Oryctolagus cuniculus: one gene and its partners. The protein of the gene in region 2 interacts with the protein of the main gene of each other region in a biochemical or structural test. Links are inferred from orthologs where the notes say so. Each region holds a gene or a part of one and is shown on either strand. Other genes may lie near its edges. The genes, in order: KHDRBS1, LYN, FASLG and KIT.

Region 1 (7,825 bases), on a different chromosome or scaffold from region 2:
GAGTTTATGTTTTATCAAGATCATTTCTTGTGCTTTCTGCTTTATGGGTCCTTTATTACTTAACAAAAATAAATCTTCTTAATATTAAAAAGCCAAGTTTTTGTTGACACCTATGTAGTCTTCTGCATTTGCTTTTTGAAGTCTTTTGTGTCCTGTGATTCCATCTTGATGAAATATTTTAAACCTTTGATTTTTAAAAATTAATTTTATTTGAAAGGCAGAGACAGAGAAAGACATATATTCCATGTGCTGGTTCACTCCCTAAATGTCCACAACAGCCAGGGCTGGGCCAGGCCAAAGCCAGGAACCAGGAACTCAATCCTGGTCTCCCAGGTAGGTGGCGGTAGCAGGGATTCAATTACTTGAGCCATCACCTGGCGCCTTCAGGGATACACCAATGCAGGATACACCTGTATTCAAAGCCAGGCACTCTGACATGAGATGCAGCCATCCCAAAGTCGGGTTTTAACCGCTGCACTGAATGCTTGCCTTGCCCCCCCTTTCTTTTTTGTAAACTTCCCCACAACAAATTCTAAATTAAGCCTTTGTGACCTCCCCTTAACTTGTGAATTTTCTAGTTGGGCTCCTGGAAAACTTCAAAGGACATGTCTCACATTCTAAAAGAGAATTTAGGTTTACGGGATATGTTAAATTACATGGGAAGAATGGCCAAATATTGATGTGAAGCCTTCTTTAACTTATATTTATCAGATGTTATTGATATGTGTTCCAAAAATTGTATGAAATTCTTAGAAATGTTATGCTGCAATTATGCTGATTTTGTTAAAGTGCTGTATGCCACAGCAATAGCAACACAATATTTTCTTCCAGCCGGCACCGTGGCTCAATAGGCTAATCCTCCACCTTGCGGGGCCGGCACACCGGATTCTAGTCCCGGTCGGGGCGCCGGATTCTGTCCCGGTTGCCCCTCTTCCAGGCCAGCTCTCTGCTATGGCCAGCGAGTGCAGTGGAGGATGGCCCAGGTGCTTGGGCCCTGCACCCCATGGGAGACCAGGAAAAGCACCTGGCTCCTGGCTCCTGCCATCGGATCAGCGCGGTGCGCCGGCTGCAGCGGCGGCCATTGGAGGGTGAACCAACGGCAAAGGAAGACCTTTCTCTCTGTCTCTCTCTCTCACTGTCCACTCTGCCTGTCAAAAAAAAAAAAAATTTCTTCCTACTTGACTTTAAACTACCTGAGTATTCAAGGACAAGGGTCATTTATGTGACCTTAAACTACTATACCAGACACACAACACACATGCCCCACCACCATCACCACCACGGTAGTTTAAAAAGTTGAAGGAAAAATGGAAGTAAAATATATTTGGGTAGGTACAAAAAATTTCGAAATCTATGCAAAAAGTCTTTAAAAATGCAACATTACAAGGATCTCGAAATTGTTTTGCACCAGATTTGTTCCCATGAACTTTTTGACATACCCTCATGTATTTTTATTTATATAACCCATAATCTGTACAAAATTTTTTATGTATTTTGTACTTTATACGTATAATTTATGGATATTAGCGTTTTGTTCTCATTTTAGTAAAAAAACGTAGCCAAGCCTTTATGTTCCCTCATTAAAGGGGTCTGAGCTTCAAATCCAGAAATCACGTTTCCAAGCACCCAGCAGGCAGTTTCCAGAGACGCTTTTGAAAGTCGCGAGCTCATTTAGGAAACAGATCCGGAAGGAAAAGGGATGGAAGGAGTACTCTGAATGGGTGAAGAAAAAAAAAAAAAAAAAAAACCTGCGGCCGGAAGGGAAAGTTAGAGACGCGCCAGGCGTTCGATGACTGATAGTAGAGACCCGGGCTCCCCCGCACGCAGCTCCCAGACCCGAGCCGGCCTCGGGCGAGAGATCCGCTGCCCAAGGCCCTCGCCTCAGCACGGCCGCCTGAGACCCGGCCTCTGCTCACTCCGCGAAATAACCGCTTCAAGCGGGAAGCAGGCTGCGACACGGACGGACTTCCCCGACTAACCACGGCTAGCGTGTCAGAACCTAGTGTGCGGGAAACCTCGGGACAGCACGGGGCTCCCTGCTACGCTTCAGGTCTCCGCCCTCTCAGTTCAAGTCTCCCAGTCAGCCGGCCGTCCCCAGCGCCACCACGCATCCCGGCGTCAGCCTCTCCCTGCGCCTCCCTCCCCGCGTGCCCCACGCAGCCAGCACGTCTTCACGCCGGTGGCCGGCCCACACCCCCCGCCCGGCTCCGCGGCTCGGCCGTTGGAGGGGGCGTGGCCCACGAGTAACAGGTCTCCCCCCCACCTCCGCCCCACGCTCGCCGCCGGCCCGCGCTCAGACAAAGACATTCCACAGCCCCCGCCCCCTCCGCGCACCCGGTCCGAAGGGGGAGGAGACACGTGTCCCGCTAGCGCCGAGTCACGTGGGAGAAAAAACGAACGGAGCCCGCGGCCGTCCGCGCACGCGCGCCAAGCTCCGGCCTGGCGGGCTCCGAGGGAAAAGAGGAGGGGGGAGGCCTCCGGTTCGGGCACCACGGCAGTGCGCAGGCGCCGTGGCCCGACTGGGGACTTTGTTCTTCGCGGAGAAACCCAAGGGCGGTGCCGGGATTTGGTGCGCACGCGCGCTGCCTCATTTCCGGTGCTCTCTCTGGCTGGGTCGCTCGGGTCGGCTTCGGTCGCTGTTGCTCCCGCTCTACCACCGCCGCCGCCAACCGCCGCCCGGGCCTCGGCCGCGTCGGTCCCCTCGATCGCTCGATCGCACATCCTCCGCGATGCAGCGCCGGGACGACCCCGCCGCGCGCATGACCCGGTCCTCGGGCCGCAGTGGCTCCATGGACCCCTCGGGTGCCCACCCCTCGGTGCGTCAGACGCCGTCTCGGCAACCGCCGCTGCCTCACCGGTCCCGGGGAGGCGGAGGAGGGCCCCGGGGGGGCGCCCGGGCCTCGCCCGCCACGCAGCCGCCGCCACTGCTGCCGCCCTCGGCCACGGGTCCCGACGCGACGGTGGGTGGTCCGGCGCCGACCCCGCTGCTGCCCCCATCAGCCACGGCCTCGGTCAAGATGGAGCCTGAGAACAAGTACCTGCCCGAACTCATGGCCGAGAAGGACTCGCTCGACCCGTCCTTCACTCATGCCATGCAGCTGCTGACTGCAGGTGAGCGGGCCTCGGGGTCCCTCGGGGTCGCTGGACCACCGGGGCGGGAGGGGTGCGGGAGGAGGTTGGCAGCGGCTTTGTTCCTCTGGCATCCCAGTCCCTCGGGACCGTGGCGGTCGGGAGCTCCCCCTCTGGCCCTCGTCTTCGGGGGCCTGAAGCCCGCCTTCCCACCCCGGCGCAGGGTTGCTGCGGGCGCCCGAAAGCGACTGGGAGATCTCCGAGCGCCGAGCTCCCCGCCCCCTTCCCGACCCTCCCCCTCCCTCCTCTCGCAGCTGCCCCGCGCTCCGAGTGCTCAGATTCTTCCAGAAATGAGCCCGTATCTCCCGCGTCCCCCCCGAGGGGAAGGCTCTTGGGTGGCGGGGAGCGCCTCGGCCGTGGGTGTCGGCGCTGCAGGCAGCCCGAGCCGGCGGGGATCGTGGGAGGCCGGAGGGCCCTGGCCGGCGCGCGGGCGTCTCGCGGGCCCGGCCGCACTTGGCCGTCACGGGAGCTGGAGTTGCGCCGAGGCACAGCGACTCGTGGGAGTCGGAGCTTGAGGTTTTCCGAATCAGATGTCCGAATCGGGCAGGTGAAATGAGGATTGTGCAGAGCCGGAAGGTTGTCGCCGTTTTATTTTACAACGTGCTTTCAACCGTCATTCAAGAAGCGGGGAAGCAGCCCTGGGGACAGTGAAATGAGATGACGGGAGGCGGTAAGGGCTGCAGGGGAGCTCCCAGGACGGGCCCCACCGCGAGGGACGGACCGTGGAGAGAAGTTGCTCGGTGCCTGCACCTGGAAGACTTGGCCTTTTGTGTTCATTCTTGCTTCCGTGGCGAGATAGATGGGAATGGTAGTCTTTGTTCTCCGCGGACGGGAGCTTCTTCCCTCGGCAGCCCTGACCCCCTCCCTAATCGCTCTGATTTCTCACTGCAGCCTCTTTTTGACCTTTTCTTATAGTTAGAAATGTTTTTCAAAGAAATATTTATTATACCTAAATGGTAGAGTAACAGTTCATGGCCTTCGACGCTGAATGAGAAGTCGGAGCCATTGACAAGATTGATACAAGGGACAGTTCATTGACAGTTCATTATGAAAATCTCATTTCCTTCCCTTTGTTCTCTCTCCCAACACTGGTAAGGGTTTTTTTTTTTTTTTAACGCAATAAACAATTAGAAAATTTCGATAAATTGCTTAAGATCTTTAACTCAGTTCTGTGCTGTCCTATATAACCACATTCTACTTTTCCTGTTTTCTTCTGACAGGCTCTTTGAGAGCAAGAATTGCTTTTTATATTTAAACATGTTTTTTGGTACTGTGCTGGACATAGCAAACTCCAGGTGTTTGAAAATGTACACATGCAAACTCAGGAATGTCAGACTAATTGGTAAAGTTTGGTTTAGCAGTCGGATTTTTAATTTTCTCAAATCTTCAGGCAGTACGCATTGCATTAAACGCAGGAGAATAAAGTACACTTTAGAGCCTAAAGGTGTTGACTTGGTTCTCAGCGCTGGCCCTTAATTAGTTACCGGCTCTGGGGAAGCTTTCTGAACCTCAGTAACCTCATTTGTAAAGTGGATGGTAAGTTTGGAAGATTAAATGATCTGTAAAATCACCAGCAGTTTCTTTTGATCTGTATCATTAGCTAGAAGAAGCTGTCACCACAATTTTTTTCTGGTTGTGAATCCATGGTAATGAACAAGGTATGAGAACTTAAGATATATTTTGCCCTTCTGACTATCTCCATTGCCCAGCGTGATGTTCATCTTTTAAGATAGTTTCTTAGGATAACCATTAAAAATCATTGATCCTTAAAGATTATTTATATTTTTCATTCTCTCACTGCTCCTTATTTTTTTTCAAACTTGGGCTTTTTTAATGCCTTTTTTTTTTAACCTAAAGAGGATGGAAATATTGAGAACAAAATTGGGTTGTGTGGATACTTCTTAGCATAGAAAAGTCTTAATGTTTGTTGGATATGGTTCTTAAGGTATTTCTAGAGAAGAGATTACAGTGAAGTCAACCAATCATAAGGAAATGAGACTGAGAAGAAAGAATAGTGTTTAATCCCTGAGAACATATATTAGAAAAACAGCTAACGTTGTGTCAGGCCCTGGATTAGAGCACTTTACATATTCATGACAACACTAGAAGTTATTCTTTTTTTTTTTTTTTTAATTTATTTGACATGTAGAGTTTACAGACAGTGAGAGAGACAGAGAGAAAAGTCTTCCTTCCATTGGTTCACTCTCCAAATGGCTGAAACGGCTAGAGCTACGCCAATCAGGAGCCAGGAGTCTCCTCCTGGTCTCCCATGGGGGTGCAGGAGCCCAAGCACTTGGGCCATCCTCCACTGCCTTCCCAGGCCACAGCAGAGAGCTGGGCTGGAAGAGGGGCAACCGGGACTAGAACCCAATGCCCATATGGGATGCTGGCGCCGCAGGCAGAGGATTAACCTAGTGCGCCACGGCACCAGCCCCAGAAGTTGTACTCACTTTTACAGATAAGGAAAGAAAGCCATACAGAATATAATTTGCTTAAGGTAACAATTAATAAGCCACATAACCAGGATTTAAAGTAAGTCTGAGTATGAAACCATGCACCTAATCCTTTTCCCCTCCTCCACACTATAATGCCTGCTAAAAGTTGTAAGCTTTCATTGGAGAAAATAAAAATCTTATGGAAAGTATCAGAGTGCTGACAAGACAGTGACAATTGAGGCCAAATACAGAAGAAAACCTAGCACAGAGCCTAGCATTTGGAACTGTGATAGTCCAGGCACCTCTGCCCATTCCTGAAAAGGTGCCCTGCCAATCAGACCACTCATTTGCACCACTCACAGCTCCCCCGTCCCTCTCCTAGGTTTACTTTATTTTGTACTTAACAGCATCTGGTGCACCATATGTTTAATTAATTGCTTTGTGGTCTGCTGATCACCTTCACCTGGCTCCTCCGTGGCTGGAAGGTCAGCTCCGCCAGGGCAGGCATGTTCTGTGAGCTGCTTTCACCACTCTCACCTCCTGTACCTTGAAGAGTGCTGCCCAGAGTGGCCTCTTATTAATGTTTCCCGAATGAATAATGAATATTCACCTTGTGTGGTGAAAAAATATTGACACATTTTGAGGAATGTAGATTTTGAATATTGACTTCTGTCCTAGCCAGATCGGTATTCAGCTGTGATGACAATTAAATGTATTTGCAGACATGCAAGAACTCAACCAACCACCCATGCTTATTTTCTGAAAGAAATATAAATTACCTTACTATTTATGTTAGCATTTATATAATAAATGTAAAATGCTGATATGTATGTCAACGTTCATTTTCTGCTTTCTACCATTAGGAAAATAAAAGTGTAAATGACTCAGGAATAAACAGTGCCTAGAACATCTTGATGGGCTACTCCAAAACTGTCCTTCAGAGAAGCTTACAGTGGAGAACATCATGCAGTCTGTTGAAACTTACAGATAGTTAATTCCTTGATTTATGATATTTTATAGAACTATATCAAGACCGTCACGGTTCATTCTACAGGACAGGCAAAAGCTGTGATTAAAACTGACTGGAAGGTGGAATCGAAAAGGAATTTTTAGGCCAACTAATACAACTATTAGGGAAGAAAGAGGCAACATTTATCTCTATTTGCCACAATCGCAGGGCTGTTTACCTAGGAAAGCAGTTAGTGCTGTAGCTGATTACAAGGTGAGGTTGTATAAATAATTAAATTTGTGATGTAAAAGCAATAGCCAGTTGGAAACAAATTGGCAAATGGTCTCATTTTTAGAATAATATAAAATAGCTGGAGATAAGAAATCAAAATCAATTCAAAATATGTGTGAGTAAACATAAGCAAAAAGAAAAAACTTTGTAGAGCATGTGCTACTCACTTTGTATCATTATCTTCATTCCTTTGGCCATTCTAAAGAGTAGAAAGAATTTTTATCACTGTTAGAAATGAGGAATATGTGATCACTTGTCAACTAATATGAAATTTTTTAAAAATTTTTTAAAGATTTTATTTATTTGAAAGTTGGAGAGAAAGTGAGAGATCTATCTACTAGTCCACTCCCCAGATGGCCACAACGGCAAGGGTTGGACCAAGCCAAAGCCAGGAGCCAGGATCATCTTCCAGATCTCCCGCATGGATAGCAGGGGCCCAAGCACTTGGACCATCTTCTGCTTTTCCAAGGCCATTAGCAGGGAGCTGGATTGGAATTGGAGCCGCTGGGACATGAACCAGCACTCATGGGATGCTGGCATTGCAGGAAGCTGCTTTACCTGCTGTGCCACAGTGCCGGCCCCCCAACATAAAATTTTAACCAAAGGTGATAGGGGAAGATCTGAATAGAAAGACCAGGGAGTGCAGTGGAGGATGGCCCAGGTGCTTGGGCCCTGCACCCCAGGGGAGACCAGGAAAAGCACCTGGCTCCTGGCTCCTGCCATCGGATCAGCGCGGTGTGCCGGCTGCAGCGTGCCGGCCACGGCGGCCATTGGAGGGTGAACCAACGGCAAAGGAAGACCTTTCTCTCTGTCTCTCTCTCACTGTCCACTCTGCCTGTCAAAAAAAAAAAAAAAAAATTAAAAAAAAGAAATATGCCATGTCCTGGGTGGGTGGGTCGGGTGGATGTTGGCTGAGAGTTAAAGAGGACGGTACTCCTTAGGTGACCTGTTGGGTATTTTTGCATTTTCCAACTTAATTGCAATTGGATTTATTTTTTCAACTTAGTAGAATATAAAATAG
Region 2 (7,689 bases):
ACACAACTTTCAAGAAATAGCTGTGTGGCAACTAAGGGATGCTGACTGCTTATTTAGCAATAAATGAAAATGAAATATAGAACTAAAATGAAAAAAAAAAAGGCCAATCAGAAAGAACAAAGGAGATTATGGGGCCCCTGCACTTATCTGCATGGATGAGTCTTTAAAAAAGATTATCTATTTGAAAGGCAGAAAGACAGAGAGAAACAGAGAGAGATTCCCCCATCCACTGGTCTACTCCCCAAATGCCCACAAAAGCCAGGGCTGAGTCAGGCCAAAGCCCAGGAGCAGAGAACACAATGCAAGTCTCCCACATGGGTAGCAGGGCCTCAATCTGCTGCCTCCCAGAGTGCGCATTAGCAGGAAGCTGGCATTGGCAGTGGAGCTGGGACTCCACTCCAGACTCCAGACTCCAGACTCCAGGCTCTCCGATGTGCGATGCGGGCGTCCCGAGCGGCAGCTTAACTGCTGCAGCCAGTTTCCACCCCTGAAGGAGTCTTTCTGACATACAATTCAGTCCTTCCAGATAACTTAAGCCAAAAATACCTACGAGAAGGTCCAAGTCCTTACACAGATCTGTTACAAAATCTCCAATTCCTCAATTGGCAAATTTCCATACCATTTTCTAGACTTGGGTGTATCTCCCAAATGAGAACTTACTCACAAAACATTTTAGAAATGATGATAGAGTGAACTCAAAGTCTCACAACTTAAGAACCAGGAAACTAGACGGCTACAAGAAATCTTTCAGTATTTCTAACTGAAACAAAAAGCCAACTTCCTCTTCCATGTCCTTCTTTTCATTATTAACCTTGAAGAATGGGAGACAACCCATGCTCATTACAGGAAAATTGGCCCAGAATAGTGCCTTGTACACAGCAGGTGCTCAGAAAATGGGACATGTGCTTTAACACACGTCCTATGTACCCAGTCCCCTTAGTTTATATTTTTAACTTAAAGATTATCTCATTGTTGTAACAACCAACAAAGGGGCTCAGATAGGATTCGTGGGGGAGACACTTCTTGGCAGAGGCTGAACAAAGTCCTTTGGCCAAATACTCCTTGGGTATTTCTGTATTAATCAATAATTACCGAATAGCCCCCAAGGCTGCTGCTACAGCTACTTGAACAGCAGTCAATATTGGTGTCACCATAGCAGTTATTGTAGATCATTCCTCAAATCCACTCTCCCAGCAGGAAGCTATGCTCAAAGACACAGTTCCAGACAATCCTGCTTAACCACACAACTGTCCCAATGTTCTGAGCTGCAGCCACTTTGCTCAGAAAATTACCACATGATAAAAAGAACTTTGTCTCTATTTTTAAAATATTTATTAAATGATTTTTTTTTGACAGGCAGAGTGGATAGTGAGAGAGAGAGAGAGAGAGAGAGAAAGGTCTTCCTTTGCCGTTGGTTCACCCTCCAATGGCCACCGCGGCCGGCGCACTGCGGCCGGCGCACCGCGCTGATCCGATGGCAGGAGCCAGGTGCTTTTCCTGGTCTCCCATGGGGTGCAGGGCCCAAGCACTTGGGCCATCCTCCACTGCACTCCCTGGCCACAGCAGAGAGCTGGCCTGGAAGAGGGGCAACCGAGAAAGAATCCGGCGCCCCGACTGGGACTAGAACCCGGTGTGCCGGAGCCGCAAGGTGGAGGATTAGCCTAGTGAGCCGTGGCACCAGTCTTAAATGATTTTTAAAATGTCTCTTTTAAGTAGCTGAGAACCCAATACAGGTCTGAAGGGGGACAGGTAGAAAATGTCAGAAAACATAACAATCATGACTAATGACTAATGTGACACTTAGCTTGTGACCTGGGGCAAGCCCCTCAATCTGTGTTTTTGTATCTGTTCCTGCCTATCCTGTAGGAGACAGGAGAGACTCAGATGAAATCAAGGGTCAAAAAGCTCCCAGAGCCTTGGACAAGCAAATTGTCATAACTGCCCAAGAAAGATCAGCGGCCATTTCTGCCATCAGTGGGTTTTTGACCAATATCTCAACATCCTGACTAATGATTGCCAAGTCTCTTCAATGTCAACACAACCCTCCCATCACAGAGACCATCAGTACCAGGGAGCTGAAACAAGGTCCAATGCTGTGAACTCCAATACATTGTATTCTTGTAAGATCTATATGGAGAGGCTCACAGCATGGCATAGCAGGTAGAGCCACCACCTGCAGTGTCGGTATCCCATATGGACGCTGGTTCAAGTCCCAGCTCCTCCACTTCCCATCCAGCTCTCTGCTATAGTCTGGGAAAGCAGTAGAAGATGGCTCAGGTCCTTGGACTCCTGCACCCATGTGGGAAACCAGGAGGAAGCTTCGGAATGGCTGAGCTCTGGCTACTGTGGCCATTTGGGGTGTGAACCGGCAGATGGAAGACCTCTCTTTCTCTCTCTCTCTCTCTCTCTCTCTGCCTCTCTCTGCCCCTGTCTCTGTAACTCTGCCTTTCAAATAAATAAACACATCTTTAAAAAAAAAAAAAAAGATCTGCATGGATTTATATATGGTCATATTGTTTAATTCTGTTGCATTAAAATTCTACATATTCCTATCAATCAACTGAATGTTTTGGTGATTTATTTCTGAATCCGAATGCCAATGGCACTAACAGGTTTTGAAAGTCTTTGATTCACAAGTGTGCTGGATCATTTTCCTGCTAAACAGAAGCCTCTGAAGGTGGTGGGGGTGGGGATGAGGATATTGCACAGTCTCCACATACTTTTGCAACCACCAGCAATGACCATAAGACAAAGAGACAGGCCAGCTTCCTTTCCAAGATGGGTCTTACAGCTCCACAGCAAGTCCTCTCTTCCAGCAATAGAGCAGTGCAGACAGTCCTGGGTGCAGAACACTATTTCTGGGTAGCTTTATGGTCAACAGAGTCCCTTAAATCTCTGCCTTAGAAACAAAGACAGAAAGCACCAATTGGCTTCAACCACCTAGGGACAGCCCTGTTTCCCCTCTCTCTGTCCTGAGTTGTGCACAGGGCCAGATTCACAGTAGGCCTCCATGCCTCTTCCCAAGTAATGTCCACTGAGCGCCAACTGTGTGCTAGGCACCAGGGCTAGACACATAACTGTCATAACTGCTTCAGGACCTTCCATGGTGAAGGATACAGTCTATAGGCATAGGGACAAATTGTAATGTCAGTCTAGTTGCTGCTATGAAGGCAATGCTGGCTACATGGATGGCCCCAGTGACTTATCCCAAAGCACAACTCTGGCAAATGATAGAAGAAACCAAAATTCAGGTTTGTTGGCTCCTATTCTGTCCCCTAATATCTTTGGCCTTTATATGCCCCCACCTAGGAAGATGGTCACTCATTTACATCCCAAAGAGGCCCCATTACCCAAAGCACTTGCGATCCAATTATGTCTACCCAATCCTCATCTCCTCATTCATCTCTGAAAGATGGAGGACTAACAGATCCCACCCTTTCCTTGCAGAGCTTACTCTTACTCAGAAAAGACTCAATGAATTCCTGGACTCTGAGCACCCACTCCCCTAGCACTGCCTCTGGTGTTACTGGTGCAAAGAAAACACAGGCACAGCCAAGACAGCATACAGCCACCCAAGAGTCAAACATTCCTGGTGGGTTCTGAGGGCTAATCAGAGAGCTGGGCCTTGCTCCAGGACAGCCAATCCCTCCTGTACTTATTAAGCAGATTTACCAAGAAAGTCAGATGGCTCAATCAGATGTGTAGTCTTAGGTTTAAGATCACCAACCGGCAAAGAATCAAGGAGTGTTGTTGTGGAATTAATTTCAATCAATAACAGTAACCACCATCTATGGAGTGCACAGAATGTCCAAGGGACTTGATATGTACTAAACAGTACAAGAGGTAGGATGTATGTAGGTTTTCTCCAAGGTGAGAAACTCAGAAAAGGACTTTCAATCATCTGTTCCCTTCAAAGACAGCTAAGGCCTGGATTCCCACGCGGGTTTCTGGATGGCCAAGAGACTGGGCAAATTTGGAGTAATTAACACACATATGCCGACTTACAAACAGGGTCACACGACAGGCGAGCTACCAGAAGTAGCATCACAAATGCACAGCAGGCAATCAAGAGGAGGCCTCAGCCGGCCTAGATAAGGCAGGAAAGTGGGAACTGACGCCTACACCCTTCCCCCAAAGGCCAAGGAAAGGCAACCCCTGAATTCTTAAAATAACTCCAGCTTCCTCTCGCTGCAGAGGCATCAGACGACTCCTCAGCAGCCAAGAGGCGCCCGCTCAGCGGGAGGCTGAGCTGCCGCCTTCACCACGGCCCCTGGACTTCAGGCTCCTGCCGGGGCCACCAAGAAGGGCAGCTGTCCGCCGGCCTGGGAGAGGGCCCGGGCCGAGCCTCATCGCTCACCTCTGGGCACCCAGGACCTAGTAGGGAGACCAGATTGCGCAATCCGAGGAGTTCCCTCCAGGATCCCCGCCGCGCCAGCTGCGCGTGGACAGAGGCTTCCCCGCAGCGCGCGGGGAGTGGCCCGAGCGGTGACCGCACCCGGAGGGATCCGCTGGGTGCTCGCGACCGTACATCCCGCCGCGCCCCTGAGCGCCTCGGCTGCGACACCTGCGGACCCTCCCGCCCCCGCGTCTTCGCTTCCCCGGGCTGAGTCACCCACGAGCACAAGTCCTCTGGTGCCTTCACCGCCAGCACTGGGCGCCGGTGCGGCCAGGAAGCGGTGCGGGACCCTTGCTGCGGCGGCCTGCGCCTTAGCCCTCGGCCCGGAACGGAACCGGTGTCAGGGACCCCGGCCAGTGGCAAAGCCTCGGGCCCCGCCCGGCCACGCGCGCCCACCCCGGGACTCACCCGCTCGCGGTGAAAGTTTCGGGACGGTGGCGGTGGTGCTCCACGGTGACTTAGTTCAGAACGGGCGGCGCGACGGCGCGGCCCCGGGGGCCCGCGTGGGGAGGGACAGCGTGGCGGGGGGGAGGCAGGACTCGCGGCAAGGGGCTGCGCGCGTGGGGCCCGTGGGCGCCACGGCAGGGAGCGAGCGGCGACGCGGCCCGGCGCGGTGGGAGAGGAACTGGCTGTCGCCGGGCTTGGCCGAGAGGTCCCAGCTACTTCCTGGTGCTGGGATTTGCATACTGCGCCCAGAGGGCGGGGAAGTGACCGTTTGGTCCCTGCCCAAGGTTTGGGTGTTTGCTGTGGCCGTCGCGCGGGGCTTTGCGGGCAAAGAACCCTGGCGACCCTGCATGCAACTCCGGGGAGTGGAGCAGCGTGGGGCCCCACGTCCTTCTGTAGGGGCCGACAGGAGATCGCCAGAGGACCCAGAAGGTCCTCTGATCTCGTCTCCCCTCCTCTCCTTCTCATCTGCTCTCCAAGGTGTTAGGAAGCCTAGTGCTCCTGGGACAGAGGGTCTTCTGATTCCTCCCAGCGTTTTAAACTCTCTCCAGCGAGATGAGAAGTGCTGTCATGATCTTAGGGTCTCACTGAGGTCTTAGCCCTCAAAGATGTACCCTGGGAAGAAGGCATTGACTTGGGGGTTGGAGGTGCAGCAGAGTTAAATGGCCACGGTTTCCTCGGGAAGATGGCGATAAGGATTCCTACCTCCTACGAGGGCCTTCTGTAGAGAGTTCACATGAGGCACAGGGCATGGCACATAGCAGGTGTCTAACCAGTGTTGGCTCAAAGACTGATCGCAAGTTCAAGTTCATGTTCCAACTCAATAAATGTCACACATCTAAGTCCCTGCGGCTGCTCACTTGCTCAAAGCCAGTTCACTTGTTCACCAAGATCCCAGCACTGTTTTACCTTACCGAATTTACTCTCTGTAGGAGAGTTGGTCTTTGTATTAATAGCAAAATCTTAGATAGGGCCTGTTGGCACCAGTCATGCTCTCTTTTAACTGTTTTCTTAAGCAGCTAGCTCCAGCTAGCCTCTGATAGGTCAAAGCAGCCATACTGTAACACAATCAGATACAGTAGTCATTGTTACTAGTAAAAGAGTACTAAGGCTTGCAAAGCACAGTCAAATGACAAATGAGGACTGTTAAGTCAACCACAAACCAAGCATACAAGGGTGGTCCCATAAGATTATAATGGAGTTAAAAAATTCTTATCACATAGTGCTGTAGTTAGCTATAGGAGCATCGCAGTGCAAGACCTTATACACATGTTTATGGTGGTGCTGGTTTAAACAAACCTACTGTGCTTCCCATCATACAAAAGTACAGTGCAAACAATCATGTGCAGGCGCACAATACTTGAAAATGACAGTAAACAACTGTTACTAGTTTGTGCATTTACTATACTTTTATCACTGTTTATAGTCTACTCCTTCTACTTATATATAAAAAAAGTTTACTATAAAACTGTGTCCCACGCTATGCCACCAGCAGCCTCATACATCCCACACTTTGTGTGTTGATTACATCAGGAGGCTACACGGGGTAGGGGCTGGAGGAGCATTTAATCTAGTGGTTAAGACCTCCTTGAGACACCTGCATCCCTCATCAGAGTGCCTGGATTCAGCTTCCTGCTAATGCTGATCCTGGGAGGCAGCACCAGCAATGATGACCCAGGTAACTGGGTTCCTGTCACCCATGTGGGAGACCTGGATTGAGTTCCCAACTCCTGGCTTTGAGCTGGTCTAGCCTCACCCAGCCCCTTCGCCAGTCACTGAGGACATCTGAGGGGTGAACAGTGGCTGGAAGTGCTCTATCTATCTATATTTATCTCTCTCTTTCTTAACTCTTTGTAAACCAAATAAATAAATTAAAATTTAAAATAAATTTTTAATAAAGAGGCCTCGTGGTGTGTCTGACCTACATCACCAGGGTATGTGCAAGTATACTTCATGATGTGGACACAATGGCAAAATTACTGGACAACATATTTCTCAGAACACGTCCCCATTATTAAGTGACATGTGACTGTACTTCCTTAAAAGAAAAAAAAAAGTAGGATGGTTCATACCTATGATATTTGCAGTATGTATCAGTTACTTCCCTGCTGAAGAATAGGTGGGTGGGTAACCATGGGAAGGTATTGAGCCTATGAGGAACACCTTTCAAGAATTCTCTGCCCCAGGGTTCACTTCCTGAACTGCTCTTCACAATGACCTTGCAAATATTTTGTCCTAAAGTATCTTTTGCTAACAATGAGTCCTCGAGATCCTGGCTGAAGGCATGAGGCAAATAATAAAATGGTACAAAATTTTTTATGTCAAGGCCAACATTGTGTAGTGGATAAAGTTGCTGTCTGCAATGCAACTGTATGGATACCAGTTCATGTCCCAGCTGCTCTACTTCCAATCCCACTCTCTGCTAATGGCCTGTAAAAAACAGCAGAAGATGGTCCAAGTGCAGGGGCCACATGAACCCATGTGGGAGACCTGGGTGAAGCTCCTGGCTCCTTGCTCCTGGCTTCAGCATGGCCCAGTCCCTGTTGTTATGACCATTTGGGGTTTGAACCAGCAGATGGAAGATTCTCTCTCTCTCTCTCTCTCTCTCTCTCTCTTCCCCTCTCTCTGTAACTCTGACTTTCAAAAAAAAAAAAAAAAAAGCTTAATGTTAGATTAACCCATCTGGAATATCTTGTTTGTGTTTTGGTAAAATGTCTCTTGGAGTAGGGAACAAAACATAAGGTAGACCTAAGCTTGCACCCATCTCTGCTCCTAACTCCACACACACGCAAGCATCCTAGCTAAGTTCATCGCTTTATTCTATTTGGAAGTAGCAACTCTTCCCCTTC
Region 3 (7,763 bases), on a different chromosome or scaffold from region 2:
GGCACCAGTTCTAGTCCCTGCTGCTCTTTTTCCAATCCAGCTCTCTGCTGTGGCCTGGGAAAGCAGTAGAAGATGGCCCAAGTCCTTGGGCCCCTGCAACCGCATGGGAGACCTGGAAGAAGCTCCTGGCTCCTGGCTTTCGGATCGGCGCAGCTCTGGCCGTTGCGGCCCTCTGGGGAGTGAACCATCGGATGGAACACCTCTCTCTCTCTCTCTCTGCCTCTCCTCTCTCTGTGTAACTCTGACTTTCAAATAAATAAATAATTCTTAAAAAAAAAAAGAAAGGAACTCAGCCATCTCCTACTTTTGATTACCCTGAGAAACTCGCACATGGTTTGAGAATGGCCCAGGCAACCAAGGACATGACCTGAGCATCACGCTGTCTCTCACCATCCAAGACAACCCACCACGAATGAGGTGTCAGTGAACAGGAAAGGCAGAACTGAGTCTCTTCTCCATACCTACACCACAAACCATCGAGCAGCTGATCTGGCATTTGGCCAGGTACTGACAGGAAATGCACTTGTTAGTACCACATGTTGCACGTTTTATATCCTACACAGAGCCTAGTAGAATGTTATTCTTCTCACTGAAGATAGACACTGAAAATATCTTTTGGATAAACACTGAAATAAAGAAACTGAAAAAAAATGCCTTAGACATTGGGATGATTGTTTCCTGCCCCAGGGATATTTGCACTTGCCAGTGCTGGAATGCACCCCACCATCACCCACCCTCCTCCACGACACAGACACATCATTCCCCACTTGGTGGGCTCCTGATCTCTTGGGTGTCAGCACAAACAGCACCTCTGTAGAGGGGTTTTCCAGATTGCTCCATCTTGGGTCGCAGGTAGTACAATTTGAAATGATATTTTGTGTTTGCTTACTGTCATTCACCATTCTAGAAAGCTCCCTGAAGATAGCCCCCCTTCTTTCTCTCACTCTCAATCATCATCTACCACCCAAGCCCAGCCTGGCACATGGGAGGCCCTCCAAGAACACCAGTGGATAATTAACTAGTCAATCTACTTATAAAAAGGAAAACAAAACAAGTAATAAATAAGAAGGTATAAATAACCTATCACAGTACCTCTGGGAGAAAATCACTATTAACATGTCATTGTCTTTTAGTTCTTTTCTAAGAATATAAAAATATGAAAATATAATTGCACAGTCAGTATTAAACTGCCATAAACTATCATACACTTTCTGTAACTAATGATATAGAAAGCACAATCCCTGTAGCATTAAATGTTTTTCTGATACATGGCTTTAATTCAGCATTTTTTGCTTATCTGAATATACCATAATGTGCTTAACTAACATATAATGAGGTATTTAAGTTTCTTCTGAGTGTTTTATTTTAATAGCCTCATAATGAAGTGATGAACATCCTTATACAGAAGCCTTTGGGGGCCATAGCTCTGATTATTTTATTAAGATAAAATCTTAATGATGGGATTACAGGCTAAACGAACAATCTCAAGCTTTTGATACATATTTCCAAACTATTCTTCAGAAAAGTTAGGTCAATTTGTATTCACACTAGCTCAAACTAATGCTTAAAGGGACACTTTCCTATCACAGCTTTGGTAGTCTGGATTTTTACTCTTTTTAATGTTTATTAAATGGATGCATGAAAATAAGTATCTTTTTTATAACTGGCATCTCTTATTAGTAAAGTTGTAAACTTGATAATTAGTAGTTGCTAATTTGATAATTCCCTAATTTCTGATCTGTCTGGGTTGATGCAGAGAAGATAAGAGTTTAGTGGGGTAGGTAGACCTGACTCATCTGTTCATTTAACTTTTAACCAATAAAACGCCTCCAGAGAGTGGGTGAGAGATGAGTAATGAGGTACCTGTTTCCCTAGCCACAGTCCCCTGATTTTCAAAGTGACATTAGAAGTCCTCCAGAGGCTGCGTTTTTCTAAAAAGTGTTTCCACTCTGTGCCCCTCCTGAGTTTCTACCACATCAGAACAAGGGGCCAGAGCATCTCAGTGATGGCTCCTACATGAGTTTATGCTCCAGGGAAGTCGCTGACCTGGGCCACCTGCAGTAGGCTATCCTGAGATTGAAACTGGCAGCACTTAATGGATGGCTAGCCCTGCCTGCTCTCTTCTTCCACATTTCTAAGGAAAAAAATTACCTACTGATTTTGCAGAAGTGTCCTGCTTTCCATTTCTTTCTCATCCCCTGGCAATTACAGTCAAGCAAGAGTTTCTGTCTTTCCATGAGGCACCAGTCCACATGCTAGAAAGTCCTGGAAGTGCCAAGGCAGCAGGAGCCTACATCCCTTCTAGCCCCAGCGCCACCCAGTAGTCATGGGCACATCACCCAATCTGTCTGATGTTTTGTTTCTCTTCTGAGAAATGAAATGGGTGGAACTGATGATCTTTAAGATCCCTCTCAGTTCTAACCAAGTTTAAAAAGTCAATTAATCTTGGTTTAATACAAATGGAGCAAATCCTAAAATATACTTGTCCACAGTGTCTAAATCTATGCTCTGAAATTTAATGAAGCCAGAATTCAACACTTTTACCTTTTTCTTGTACTGGATTTCATACAAAGGACTTTCCTTTATTGTCAAAAACATCTCATAGGTAAAGTGGAATAATCCTTTGAATATGGGTTAAATCTTCTCCCAGGCCTCCCCATGACTTCAAAGGAACCATGCTATGTGGGAAATTGTCCACTTATCAAAAGCTTAGCTAAATCTTGTACAATGTCTTAAATGAAGCTTGACTCTTGAGTGATCTCTTTTCTGGAGTTGAGAAGAGGAGAGGACATTTCCCAGAAGTTTCTCTCTTTGCCCATACCTAACTAGGACTCCTGAGGAAGGAGATGGGCCTGCAACCAGCTGCCCAAATGGCAGGGCTCCAGGATTATGTATGTGTGTCTCATCCCAAAGTCAAGTCAAAAGTATTTTGCATTGTGTGAAACACTCAGCTACACTGATTTTGAGCAGTGAAATTCACTTCATATTTTAAAAGATGCTCAAGAAACCACACTGACCAGGGGTTCAGAATTGTCCAAGACTCTTCTCATAATATTCACAAGCCCAGGAATGGGATAGGATTCAAGGTATCCCCCCAACAATGTTCAGTGCTAAGGATTATCTTTGGAAATTCAAATCACATGAATAAAAGGACTCACCTGTTTGCTTCTCCATAGATGATGATGCTGTGTGCCTTTGACTGAAGGACTACCGGAAGAAAGAGAAAAGATGTATGATAAATAGGAAGCTCTTTAATCAGTGGAGGAATTGCCAAATAAGCCAGCCCCCGAAAGAGATTCCAAACTCCTCAGAACCTTTCCTAACTCAGACTTTAGCCAAACAAGTTTGTCTCATTGTCCCTCAGTTTTGTCATTTGAAATGGTACCAGATTTTTTAAAATGTTTTCAAGGAAATTCAGTCTGGTCATTTGAATACATTCACTTCTAAGCAGACTCAAAGTTTTTTTTTTATTTCTTGAATCACTAGATCTGAGGTCAGTGGCTTCACAGACTGACATGACAACTGAAAAAGGCAAAACCATATGGCTCAAATTCTTTACAAGACAGAAAATACCTCTTCATTCATAGGACCCTCCATTTCTCTACCTATAGAATAGAACGACAAGAACAATCCCTTTCCAAGACAAACAGTAAAGCTTGAAAAGCACTTTGCAAGCAAGACAGTGGTCCGGGTAGACCCCAGGAGGCTCCATCCCACAGCAGCAGAGCCCTCCTCCCACCCCAGTGATTGCTGGACACAGCTTACCTCTCTGAGCTCGGCCAACTCCTTCTGCAGGTGGTAGAGCTGGAACATCCCCAGCCCCAATCCAACCAGGGCCACCAGGACCATGAAAAACATCAGAAGGAGGCAGAGGCCTGTGCTGTGGTCCTTCCTCTTCTTCAGGGGTGGTGGGGGCAGCGGGGGCAGTGGGGGCAGCGGGGGCAGTGGTGGTGGTGGTAGCGGTGGCGGCGGCGGTGGCAGTGGTGGTGGTGGCCTTCTTTGACCAGGCCTTTCAGGTACAGAGGATGGACAGGGGAGAACTGACCCTGGAGGGGCCCAGGGAGAGCTGGCAGTGCTGTCCACCCAGTAGATTTGGGGATATGGATAACTGAAGGGCTGCTGCATGGCAGCCAGGGACTCCCAAGGATTTTACTTCTCAGTCCTGTGGAGGCTGCAATGTCGAAGAAGGAACTCCTGCTGCTCACTGTTAAGAGAGGAACAGCCAGCTCTCGCTTTATAGAGTTTCCACACCAAGGGAAACACCAATCAATCTCTCTCTCTCTCTCATCTTCTCTTGCTAGTTCTCAGAGAGACACCCACTCACCTTATATCTGCAGCTGAGAAGCCTCAAGAAGCTCAGAGCCAACCCCTGGAAGTTTCCGCCCACAACTTTCTGATGAAAGCCCCCGGAGCCACAGCTGCCGTGGCTGCGCTACCTGAAAAGGCAGGGAGCCGTGACCGCCTTCCTCGGGCCTGCAGAGCAGGGCAGCACTGGGCGCAGTGCTGGCGCAGGGAGAGTGGCGCTGAGCGGGGAGACTGGAGTCACTTGCAAGAGGAAATCATCCCCCTCCCGCATCCCTTCCCCACACCAAGCACTGTTTACCCGAACCCTGCAAATCACCATAATTTACAGATTAGACCCTGCCCCGCCCACTCTAGAGATTAGATCAGATATGCTTTGTGGATCTCACAGCCTAGCTCTGTTTTTACTTCTTGATGATTTGTTTCTCATTTGTAAAATCAAGACAGTCCACATTAAAATACCTATTTTCATTCTGTTGTAAATATTTTTAAGGCCATCTCCACAAATTCAGTCAGCTGGAGGTGAGGAGCAAGTGTCCCCAGGAATGAGACACAGGTGACCAGGTAGCCCAACCTCCACCCCCAAGGTCCCTCCACCCTGTACTGTGTTTCCCACACCACCTCACCTGTGAAATGGCTTTCTGGCCCCTGTAGGCAGCCCTGTTCATAGCTGCTGTTATGTTTACTAGAATTGCTTGAATTTCAGATCAACAAATAAGCTTCAGGGTATGTATGTCCTAAACAATGCAAGAGTTGTACTAAAATGTTATTCATTGTTTATCTGAAATTCAAATTTTAAAGGGTGTCCTTTTTTTAACTTTGTTTTTTGCTAAAGATGGCAACTGTGCCTGGGCTATGACCTCACCCTTTCTTTTGGTCTCAAATACCATTAATATGCCAATAACTTCCAAGTACTCAGCCTCACTCTTAATCATTCTCCCATAAAAACTGTATAAAATTTCCACAAATCTTCAATTTCTGTTCTTTTGAAGATGTCTACTTTTCAGTTTCATTAGTTTCTACATCACACTGTGAGATTTCTGTGACTGTCGTTCTGGCTCTCTCACGTGGACCACGTCAATACCAAATGTACAAGGGGTTTTCAAGAAGTTCATGGAAAATGTGTACAATGAAAACTCTATTAATGAATTTCAAAATTGTATTGCATCAGAGAGTGGGGAAGGAGGGAGAGAGAGAGAGAGAAAGAGGAAGTTTTCATCTTCCAGATTCACTCCCAAGTGCCTACAATAGCTGGGACTGGGCATGGCTGAAGTCAGGAGTTGGGAACTCAATCCAAGTCTACCATATGGTGACAGGAACTGATGCAACAAGGACAGGAGCCTCAGCCACTTTAGGTTCTTGTTACCCTGTCTTCTTTCAAGAGAGGAGTTCAGTCTCCTTCCCTGTATTGTCCCCCCCCCCCCCCCCCCCCCCCGCATTCTTCCCCAGGTTTGGAAGCCAGTGGGCCAAACCTGAAGAACCAATAGGGAGAAACTCACCTCGGCCTACTGCCCCCAGCCCCACCCCAGCCCACCTAAGTTATAAACAGGCCCAGCCTGCTAGGGTCTGGGCTTCTGCCACGTGTTCCATCTGTGAGCTTGATGGCAGTTTGTCAACCTCTGTGAGTTTATTTTCTCTGAATAAATTTGGTCTGGCTGCGAGTTTGTACCCTGTCTCCTCTCTGTTCTGTGGCCCCCTTTTCCTTACATTTGGTGCCTTGTGTCAGGAGCCACCCATCTGCATTCTTTTCCTTACAGGAACCCACTCACTTGAGCCATCACTGCTACCTCTCAGGGACAGCATCAGCAGGCAGCTGCACTCAGGAGCTGGAGTCGAGTATTGGATCTGGTGGGGGACGTGAGTATCTAAATCAGTGTCTTAACTTCTAGGCCCATTGTCTGTCTTGCACCTAAATAAATTTATCTTTAAATTCCATTTTTTCAAGAACTTTCTGAAGTATCCTCATATTATTTTCACGCCACATTCTCTCCACACAACCCCCACTCTCAAAGCTACCCATTTCTGTCTTGTCACAGCTTCAACACCTCTTTTTTTCTCCTTCAATCTTGTAGGAGTCACCCAGGACTATTGATGTCACCTCAGACATTTTTTTCTTACCCTCCCGTAATGCACCCTCCCACTCTCATTTTCCTTCCTTTTATTGCCTTAGATCATTATCATCTTCCACTTGAAATACTGCGATGGTGCCCTAACCAGTCCCTCTGTCACCAGACTTGTCCAAACCCAAGTCACCCTATAAAATGCTGCAAAAATAGTGTTTTTATCTTTTTCTCTTTTACAAATATTTTATGTATTTATGTACTTGTTTATTTATTTTTAGTTTTTAACAGATTCAATATACTTCATAGATACAATTCTAAGAATATAATGATATCCCCTTCTCTCCCCTCCCCCCTGCCCAAGACTGGTATTTTCAAAAACAAATCCAACGATCCTGTGTCCATGCCTAGAATCTTCTCTTGGAAGGTTTGATTCCAGGATCACCATCTCCCTAGCGTGCCCCAGTGCTCTGCACAGTTGGACTCAGCAGCTCTCACTGCCTCCTTCCAGGCACCGCTCCCCAGTCTGCACTTTCCACTTGGAAGCAGTATAACACAGAGACAGGGGTGACTGTGCACAGTGCTCCTACCATCATTTAGCATTGGTCAGAGTTAGTATACTTTTGAGTTCACATATGACTTTATTCGTAGTTATGAAAGATACTGAATTTAAAAATAATAATAATCAGAAAGTATCACTTTAAGGATTCTATCAGACAGTGGCCGGTGCTGTGGCATAGTAGACTAAGCCCCCACCTGTGGTGCCAGCATCCCATATGGGTGCCAGTTCATGCCCCAGCTGCTCCTCTTATGATCCATCTCTCTGCTTATGACCGGAAAAGCAGTGGAAGATGGCCCAATTGCTTGGACTCCTGCACTCACGTGGAGCACCCAAAAGAAGCTCCTGGCTTTGGATTGGCCCAATCCTGGCCTTTGTGGCCATTTAAGGAGTGAACCTGCAGATGGAAGACCTTCTCTCTGTCTCTGTCTCTCTCTCTCTCTCTCTGTAACTCTTAAATAAATAAAATCTTAAAAAATAATTATGCCATATGTACAACAAAAACCATAAAATATCCTAAAATAAGTAACAAAACTTGCATAAAACAGTACTTTTAAACTTCAAAATTGTACTGAAAATGGCAAAGATTCAATCAAATGGATTGAGAGAGTAGAAAAGTAGCATTGCGTGATATTTGAGGAATAGGGTTTTGGTATTAAACTGTCTGCGTTCTAGTCCCAGTTCTTCTGGTCAGTAGCAGAGGGAACTGGACAGATCTCTTTCCCTCCTCTGTGTCACAGTTTTCTCATCTCAAAGTAGTAAGTACTTCATAGGGATTTGTGAGGATTAAATGAATCAGAGTATTTGATATTCCTAACATCAAAGTAAGCATTCTACAGAGG
Region 4 (7,143 bases), on a different chromosome or scaffold from region 2:
CTCCCGCTCTGCTCTGACCCGGGCAGAAGCCGGGAGCCACTCGGGGATCACCGTGGGGCAGCGCGGGCTCCAACCCTGCCCGGGGCACGAGGCACCCCTGTGGGGAGGGGGTGGGGCGGGGTGAACACAGACACTGCTTCCTGTCGTCCCTGCTGAGCCCTGCGGCCCCGTCAACAACTAAGAACCAGGTTGGGTCAGCAGGACAGGACGACACTCAAAGAAAAACAGGTCAAAGAGGCCATTTCGAAGCAATTATTCTCGTTCTCTCTCTGCACATCAGCCGAGGAAAACACTGAGGGAGGCCCACAGGGCTGATGTGCGGTAGGGGACCCCATCTGCACCCTGGGCTGCACCCCGGGGGCTCCCTGCCTCAAGGGTGCTGCTCTGTGCTCGAAGCTGGAGACCAGGGGAGGTGGGGGCGCCCTGGGCACCCTTGCCCCAGACAGAGCCACTGGGCGGCAGAAGGCAGAGGAGCGCGCGTGACCCGGATGAGGAGAGAGACCCGGCTCTGCCCCCAGTAGCGAAAGGCTGAGTTTGCTTGCACAGTGGCCTAGCTCAGCCAGGGCTGGGGCTCCCGCTGGAAAAAGCCCAGCTTGCGGCGTTCCTCAAGGCGAAAAAAGGAATAATCTGCTTTGGTGCTGAATTGCAGTGATATTTTCATTCATTCATTCAGTCACTCACTCACTCACTCATTCACTTGGTGATGATCAACGTCCAAGAATCTGCTTAGCATTGCATTAACATTGAAAGGAAACTGGCTCGTCATTTCTTCTTCCATGATTGCCAAACGTGTGGCTTCCCGCGGCAGTACTTACCTACGACTTTCAAGGTCGTGGTGACATTCGCCGACCCGAAGGTGTTGTTGGCGTAGCACATGAACACCCCGGAGTCCGCCACTCTCGCCGCGCCGATCGTCAGCGTCTCCTGGCGCTCGTAGTGGAAGTCGCCCTGATGCCAGCTGTGGCGCCTCACCTGGCCGTTTGTCCGCTGGTTCCCAGAGGGGACAAAGAGAATCCAGAATTACCATACCATTAATATTCAGATCTTCCCTAAATTAAAAATAGCAGCAATTAATGTCTCCATATTTGCATTCATTACAGTGACTTAAGGGGGAAATACTAAAGCCACAGGTGTCGCTGGCGCAGTTCCTATCACAGGGCCGTAAGAGAGACGGTCGGTACTAGTGACTGGCGGGGAGCAGATGAAAATTCATTGCTTGACCAGAGTCTGTGTAATTCCGAAGTTGCAGCACTAACTTTCAAGTTCTTATAAGAAACATTATGAGGGGCCAGCACTGTGGCATAGCGGATAAAGCCACTGCCTGTAGTGCCGGCATCTCATATCGGCGCTGGTTTGGGTCCCGGGTGCTTCCGATCCAGCTCCCTGCTGTGGCCTGGGAAAGCAGCAGAAGATGGCCCAGGTCCCTGGGCCCCTGCACCCGCGTGGGAGACCTGGAGGAAGCTCCTGGCTTTCGATGATCGGCCCAAGTTCGGCCGTTGCAGCCACCTGGGGAGTGAACCAGTGGATGGAAGACCTCTCTCTCTGCTTCTATGTAACTCTACCTTTCAAATAAAAATAAATAAATAAATAAATCTTTAAAAAAAGAAAAAACCTTATGGCATCTTACAATCTAAGAATACTTATAAGTATTTCCTGTGATCTAAAACCATGTGCGTGACGACCGTGCTCTGTGGTATTAGCGGCTGCTTCTGTGGGGATTAGGATGGAATCCGTGTGTCGTCAACCACCTCGCAGAGCCACCCACAGCCCTTACGCAGCAGAATCCCGACAACCCGAGAGCAGTCCCAGAGACTCTGAAACGCGCAGGCCAAGCCTAAAACTACGCAAGCCTGAGCAGAAACGCTGTGGCTCCTCCCTGGTGACATCAGCAACCCACTGACAAGACACCTATCGTGGGCGGCGGACGTCAGGCCTCCGGGCCAAAGGCACGTGTGCACAAGACCACTCCAAGAAGTTTCTAGAAAAATGAAAAGGTCACTTCGGTGCCAAAACACCTGTAACCCAAGAATATGGTTTTTTTTTTTTTTCAAAATATACAATTTTCAGAGACTTTCTGAAGTCCCTTTATATGCATGAATTTCAAAAAAATTTTTTACCAAAATAAGCTCATCTTTGACTTCCACTTCCCACGCACTTTCTGAAGGGCCTTGTACAGCGGTTAGCGAAAAGCAAAACACACACACACGAGTTGGGGACACAGAACAGGGGAGGGGAGAACAGACAGGCAGCAGGAGGCCCTGTGCAGGCTGGAAGACAGCCGCCGCCTCCTACGGGCAGGCTGCCTGGCTCTGCACATGGCCGGGGCAGCCGAGACAGCCCAGGCGTCCACACGGGGAGCTGCCCGGGAACTCAGAGTGGGTCAGGGACGGATGGGGCAGCCGGGCCCAAAGACTGCTGGGGGTGATCACCAAAGGCCAGGAGAAAGCCCTGGAAGGCCCAACCAAGACCGGCAAGCACTGAATAAAGTCCAAGACGCTGAGGCTTAGAGAAACAAATCCAACAACACTGAAGCCACGTGGCCCCGGGTCTCGCTGGGGGTTAAACTTATTCTAAGTGGTCAGAACCAAATACCATTATGGATCTGGAAAATAATCTGATCGCGCTAACAGCACTCCAAATTAAACCACAGGGTAGCCACACAGATTGGCAGGAGGCCAGGAGCCCATCTGCAAGTCACGCATTGCATATTGTCTGCACGCGGCCTGGCTCTCCTTAACCCTCGGCGGCGCACGCTGGGACCTCCCCAAAGAGCCCCCGACTCGGAAGGCGTGTGCGCCAGCGCCCGTGGGTTAATTGGGAACGGCACACAGCACTCCTGGGACAAATGGCTTCAAACAAGGCTGCCTGAGGCAACTGAATCTCTCATCTCAAAAAGGCTAATTTTCAAATTGCACAGAGGCGCGCGCACACACACGCACGGAGTCCAGATTGCCCTCTCATCTGGAATCAAGGCTTGGAGGAAGCCACTTAACGTGGCGTTGCGTCCTGTAAGGGTAGCCAGCGATCTATACCTAAGCTACCGCTGTTATTACATTATCCGCTTTGAGAACTAAACTTCCCACGGGGTTGAAAGGGCGAGGGGAGAACAGAGCCGTTCTCTCTCCATGGCACCAGCAGGCCTCATTAGCGAGACACCATCCATCACAGTCGGCTTGCGCACCCCCGCCGCCGCTCTGCAGGGCACAGGCACCGTGGGCCTGTGTGCAGAGAGCTTTGAACAGGCACGGAGCTGCCGGTGTCGGGGATGCGGGGGTGGGGGGGTGCAGGAAGGAAGCCGTGGCTCTTTGCCCGAGACAGCGCACACTCACGCGGGTCCTCTGAAAAGCTCAGGGGAGCACCCAAGTGAAGGGTACGTCATCTCGGTGCAAAACTCGTCTGAAGCCCGCGCAGTTCATTCTCCACCCTACACTTTTCCGTGTCGTGCTCAGGGATCCTGCAACCAGGAGGAAGCCTCGGGACAGCCGACCAACCACACGCTCAAGAGGACTTGAAAAAAAAATACTGCGATCTCACTCAACAGGGATTGTAAAGGAGAATGGTAGGAAATCCATCGGCTCAAAGACTCCGCTTGGTATTAACAGGAGAGGGAGGGAAAAAATACCTCTTCAAATACAACTCCTGAAATTTGCTTAAGATACGCCTACCACGTATCTGACAGATAGCAGGCATTCGATGTGCATTTGTTAAATGAATGAGAAGCTACATACGTCCACAGCTTTCAGGGGAAAGATAACCATTATATTAATAGCTGCTAAAACAAACAGAAAACCATTAGCAAGTGAGCCCCAGGTGAGCGGCTCCGAGCAGCGCGGGCAAGACGGGCTGCCCTGACGCACACGCAGGCCGTCTTTCGGCAAAGAGCTTTCTGGTTAACATCGGGGACGCTCTGTTGGCCTTCGATACGGAAGGATCAGCCAGAGCTGCGGGTTTCCAGTTCCCTAGGGAAGGCCTCTGCAGACCAGGGTGCCGCCCCCGCCCCCCGTTCTCAGCTCGACTCCTGGTGGCACGCGGACCCGTCACTGGTAACGAAAGGCCCCGTCTCCACGCGCAGCGCCGCCTCGCCGGTGGGGTCCCGGCCCCGGGGCACCCCCACACATCAGAACCCCGGGAGAACAAAGAGGAGGAGCCTCCACTCACCTGGCCGTCCTCCTTCAGCCACGCGGACAGCACGGCGGTGGACACGTCTCTGACCGTGCAGGTCACCGAGAACTCTTCCCCCTCTCTAAGCAGGCAGCTCGTTCTGGACACGGACACCACCGGGACGGCCTTGATGGCTACGGCGGGAAGAAAGGGGGCCTTCGCACAGCCCGGGCTGGCACAGCAGGCGACGCCGGCGTCCCTCTTCCCCAGAGGGCGCGGCTTACCTCATCGTCTTGGAACCCGGCACTGACCTGCGGTCTCCCCGGAAGGCCGGGAAGCCCGCGCCCCCACCCAGCACATTCATCAATATTGCGTGAAAGAGACAGACATGTCCCCTGTGGGACTGTAACACCTCTGGAAAAGGCTTGCTCAAGACAGGAAGAAGGGGCTGGCGCTGGCATAGCGGGTTAAGCTACCGCCTGCGATGCCCGCATCTATTTGAGCCCTAGTTCGAGTCCCGGCTGCTCGACTTCGATCCAGCTCTCTGATAATGTGCCTGGGAAAGCAGCAGAGGACGGCCCAGTCCTTGGGCCCCTGCATCCACGTGGGAGGCCCGGCTGAAACTCCTGGCTCCGGCTGGGCCCAGCCCTGGCTGCTGCAGCCACCTGGGGGGCGGTGAACCAGAGGGTAGAAGATCGCCCTGTCTCTTCCCCTCTGCACTACCCCAACTCTGTGAAATGGTGTGAATTTGCTGATGGCTTCTTGAGCATGTGGCCTCTAACGGATTATATTCTCTTATCCACACAGACCTCTCTCGTACACAGAGAAGTAACACCTCGCTTCTTCCTGAACACCCCAGGTTTTAAACAAGCAAACCTTCCTTCATTTCAATGAGGGCATCTTTCCAAAAGCCTTAATTAAAAAAAAAAAAAAAAGAAAGAAAAAAAAAAAAAAAACCTACTGAACAGCTGGTGTTGAATCACATGGCCTCTGAGATACAGAGACCTGGATTATCCCAGCCACCAAAACACTGCAGGATGCCACATGATGACAAGTTCACGGTCAGCTTGCACGTTCCTCCCCAGGCCTCGCGCGGTCCCAGGATGCATTGCAGTCAACCAGCGGGAGAGAGTGCAATAGCCAATCAAAACGAACAACTCAGCTTTGCCAACAGTGTGGTGGGAGCTGTCCAGGGGGTCTCTGGGAAGCAGCACTTGATGCAGGCACAGCCGGTAATGACCGTGCCCAGCACGGATGCCGGTCCATGGCAGACGCACCTGCCTCGGCTAGAGGTGGCCGTGGTCCAGGGGTGCGGGGCTGGGCCTCTCCAACAGAGGCTCCACCAGCACCGGTGCTCCCGCGAGGCTGGGGAACAGCCCACGGGGAGGGGCCAGCGCCCGCGGGCCGACCCTCAGGGAGAGGAAGGAGGGAAGGGGGCCCACCTGCTCTCACTTTCAGGATGAATTTTTCCGACTGCACGGTTGTGCCCTCGCGGTCGGCGGCGCAGCGCAGGCACAGCCGGTGGTAGGCGCGCCTCACGTTCTTGATGGTGATGCCGGCCTTGGGGTCCGGGACGAAGGTCAAGTCCTTGGGGAGAGGCTTCCCCTCGCACTCCTTGAGGGTGTAGTTGGTCACGTCCGGGTCGGTCAGCGGACAGCGGACCAGCGTGTCACTGTCTTCTCGGCCGTACAGGGGCAGGCCCACGAGGAACAGCTGCCGCGGATCTACAAACACATTGGGCGTCAGTGGCTTGCGCGGCTGTGCTGACACGGCAGGCAGCGTGACAGCCAGAACTGGAGCACATGCAAACGGGACTGGCGAGAAAGAGTTAACACGCCTAAGACACTTTCCACGAGCCGGGCACTAAGCCTGAGCCACCACCCATTTTTTTATCTTATTTAATCTTCCATAGGCCCCTGTGTGATGGGTGCTGCCGGCCGAGAATCTCCGACGGAAACACTTGGGACCAGAAGTGTTTCATAGTTCAGAGACGTTAGCATTTTGGGATATTTGCATAAACTTTCCTGGCTGAGCAAGCCTAATCCAAAAATCTGAAAGCTACAGGGCCGGCGTTACAGTACAAGGGTTAAGCCAAGCCGCTGCCTGGGACGCCGGCATCCCATAAGAGCAGCAGGTAGAGTCTGATCCAGCTCCCGGCTAATCCCGTGCCCCAGGTGGGAGACCCAGTGCAAGCTCCTGGCTTTGGACCGGCATAGCCCCAGCTGTTGGGGCCGTGTGGGAAGTGACCCAGCGAATGGTGTGTGTGTGCGTGTGTGTGCATGTGTGTCTCTGCCTCTTTCACTATAACCCTGACTTTCAAATACATTAATTAACCTTATAAAAATAAAAGACCCCCAGAGCATCTGAAGATAGCAAAGCTGTTTCTCCATAAGAGGTGACAGCACAGGAGTGGCTGCAGAGGGGTAACAACCAGGGTGACAGTGACAGCTGCTGTCGGGGAGGAGCCCCGGAACCCAGTGCAGGCAGCGCGCGAGCCCCTCTCTGCACGTCCTCCTGGGCCCCGTGTGGGCAGGGCTTCCGCAAACCCCGTCGCTGCAGACCAAGGGGAGGGGGCTCATCGGTGTCAGGAATGAACGCAGGACAAACGCTTTCTCGTCCGAGCCGGGACTCCCGTGAGAGCTCGGGGAGGCCCCGGCTCAGTGGCACAGCACAGCCCGAGCAGAGCTAAACAGTATCTCGTCGGCGCCCGTCTCTGGCCCACTGCCCACTCAGGCAGGACAGGACTCCTGGATGTCACGGCCAGTTTGCAGGTCACAGGGCGTGCACGCATCTGTCACTCGGTGAGGACGACGGAGCAGTGAGCTCACCCGGGCACTGCAGGGGGCGGCTCAGGGCTCCCACCGAGGACAGTCACCCCCATCACTTGTGCAGGACCCCCTGGCTAAGGCCTCTCGCCTCGGGTCTGTTTCAGTGTCAGCTGCGATCCACACCCACTCAGGACGAGAAGTCGTCTCCCAAGCCGTCAGCTACCAGAAGACACACCCCTTCTGGCAAACCTGGTCTCTACAAAGATTTGCAAAG

Evidence for each region.
Region 1: the proteins of LYN (region 2) and KHDRBS1 form a complex in vitro, tested with the Homo sapiens proteins (3 studies listed by BioGRID and IntAct, with this or other methods). The link is inferred for Oryctolagus cuniculus from reciprocal best matches to the Homo sapiens genes LYN and KHDRBS1.
Region 3: the proteins of LYN (region 2) and FASLG form a complex in vitro, tested with the Homo sapiens proteins (2 studies listed by BioGRID, with this or other methods). The link is inferred for Oryctolagus cuniculus from reciprocal best matches to the Homo sapiens genes LYN and FASLG.
Region 4: the proteins of LYN (region 2) and KIT form a complex in vitro, tested with the Homo sapiens proteins (2 studies listed by BioGRID and IntAct, with this or other methods). The link is inferred for Oryctolagus cuniculus from reciprocal best matches to the Homo sapiens genes LYN and KIT.

The regions. Positions count from the first base shown.
Region 1 is NC_091438.1:140,418,801-140,426,625, reverse strand, and holds the start of KHDRBS1 (KH domain-containing, RNA-binding, signal transduction-associated protein 1), read left to right. Parts: upstream 1-2,508; 5' UTR 2,509-2,729; coding exon 2,730-3,111; intron 3,112-7,825. UniProt on the Homo sapiens protein: Recruited and tyrosine phosphorylated by several receptor systems, for example the T-cell, leptin and insulin receptors. Once phosphorylated, functions as an adapter protein in signal transduction cascades by binding to SH2 and SH3 domain-containing proteins.
Region 2 is NC_091437.1:81,131,102-81,138,790, reverse strand, and holds the start of LYN (tyrosine-protein kinase Lyn), read right to left. Parts: upstream 4,943-7,689; 5' UTR 4,805-4,942; intron 1-4,804. UniProt on the Homo sapiens protein: Non-receptor tyrosine-protein kinase that transmits signals from cell surface receptors and plays an important role in the regulation of innate and adaptive immune responses, hematopoiesis, responses to growth factors and cytokines, integrin signaling, but also responses to DNA damage and genotoxic agents.
Region 3 is NC_091438.1:1,338,475-1,346,237, reverse strand, and holds the start of FASLG (tumor necrosis factor ligand superfamily member 6), read right to left. Parts: upstream 4,533-7,763; 5' UTR 4,126-4,532; coding exon 3,766-4,125; intron 3,208-3,765; coding exon 3,159-3,207; intron 1-3,158. UniProt on the Homo sapiens protein: Cytokine that binds to TNFRSF6/FAS, a receptor that transduces the apoptotic signal into cells. Involved in cytotoxic T-cell-mediated apoptosis, natural killer cell-mediated apoptosis and in T-cell development.
Region 4 is NC_091439.1:109,616,451-109,623,593, forward strand, and holds part of KIT (mast/stem cell growth factor receptor Kit), read right to left. Parts: intron 5,826-7,143; coding exon 5,544-5,825; intron 4,303-5,543; coding exon of another isoform or gene 4,296-4,302; coding exon 4,159-4,295; intron 988-4,158; coding exon 816-987; intron 1-815. UniProt on the Homo sapiens protein: Tyrosine-protein kinase that acts as a cell-surface receptor for the cytokine KITLG/SCF and plays an essential role in the regulation of cell survival and proliferation, hematopoiesis, stem cell maintenance, gametogenesis, mast cell development, migration and function, and in melanogenesis.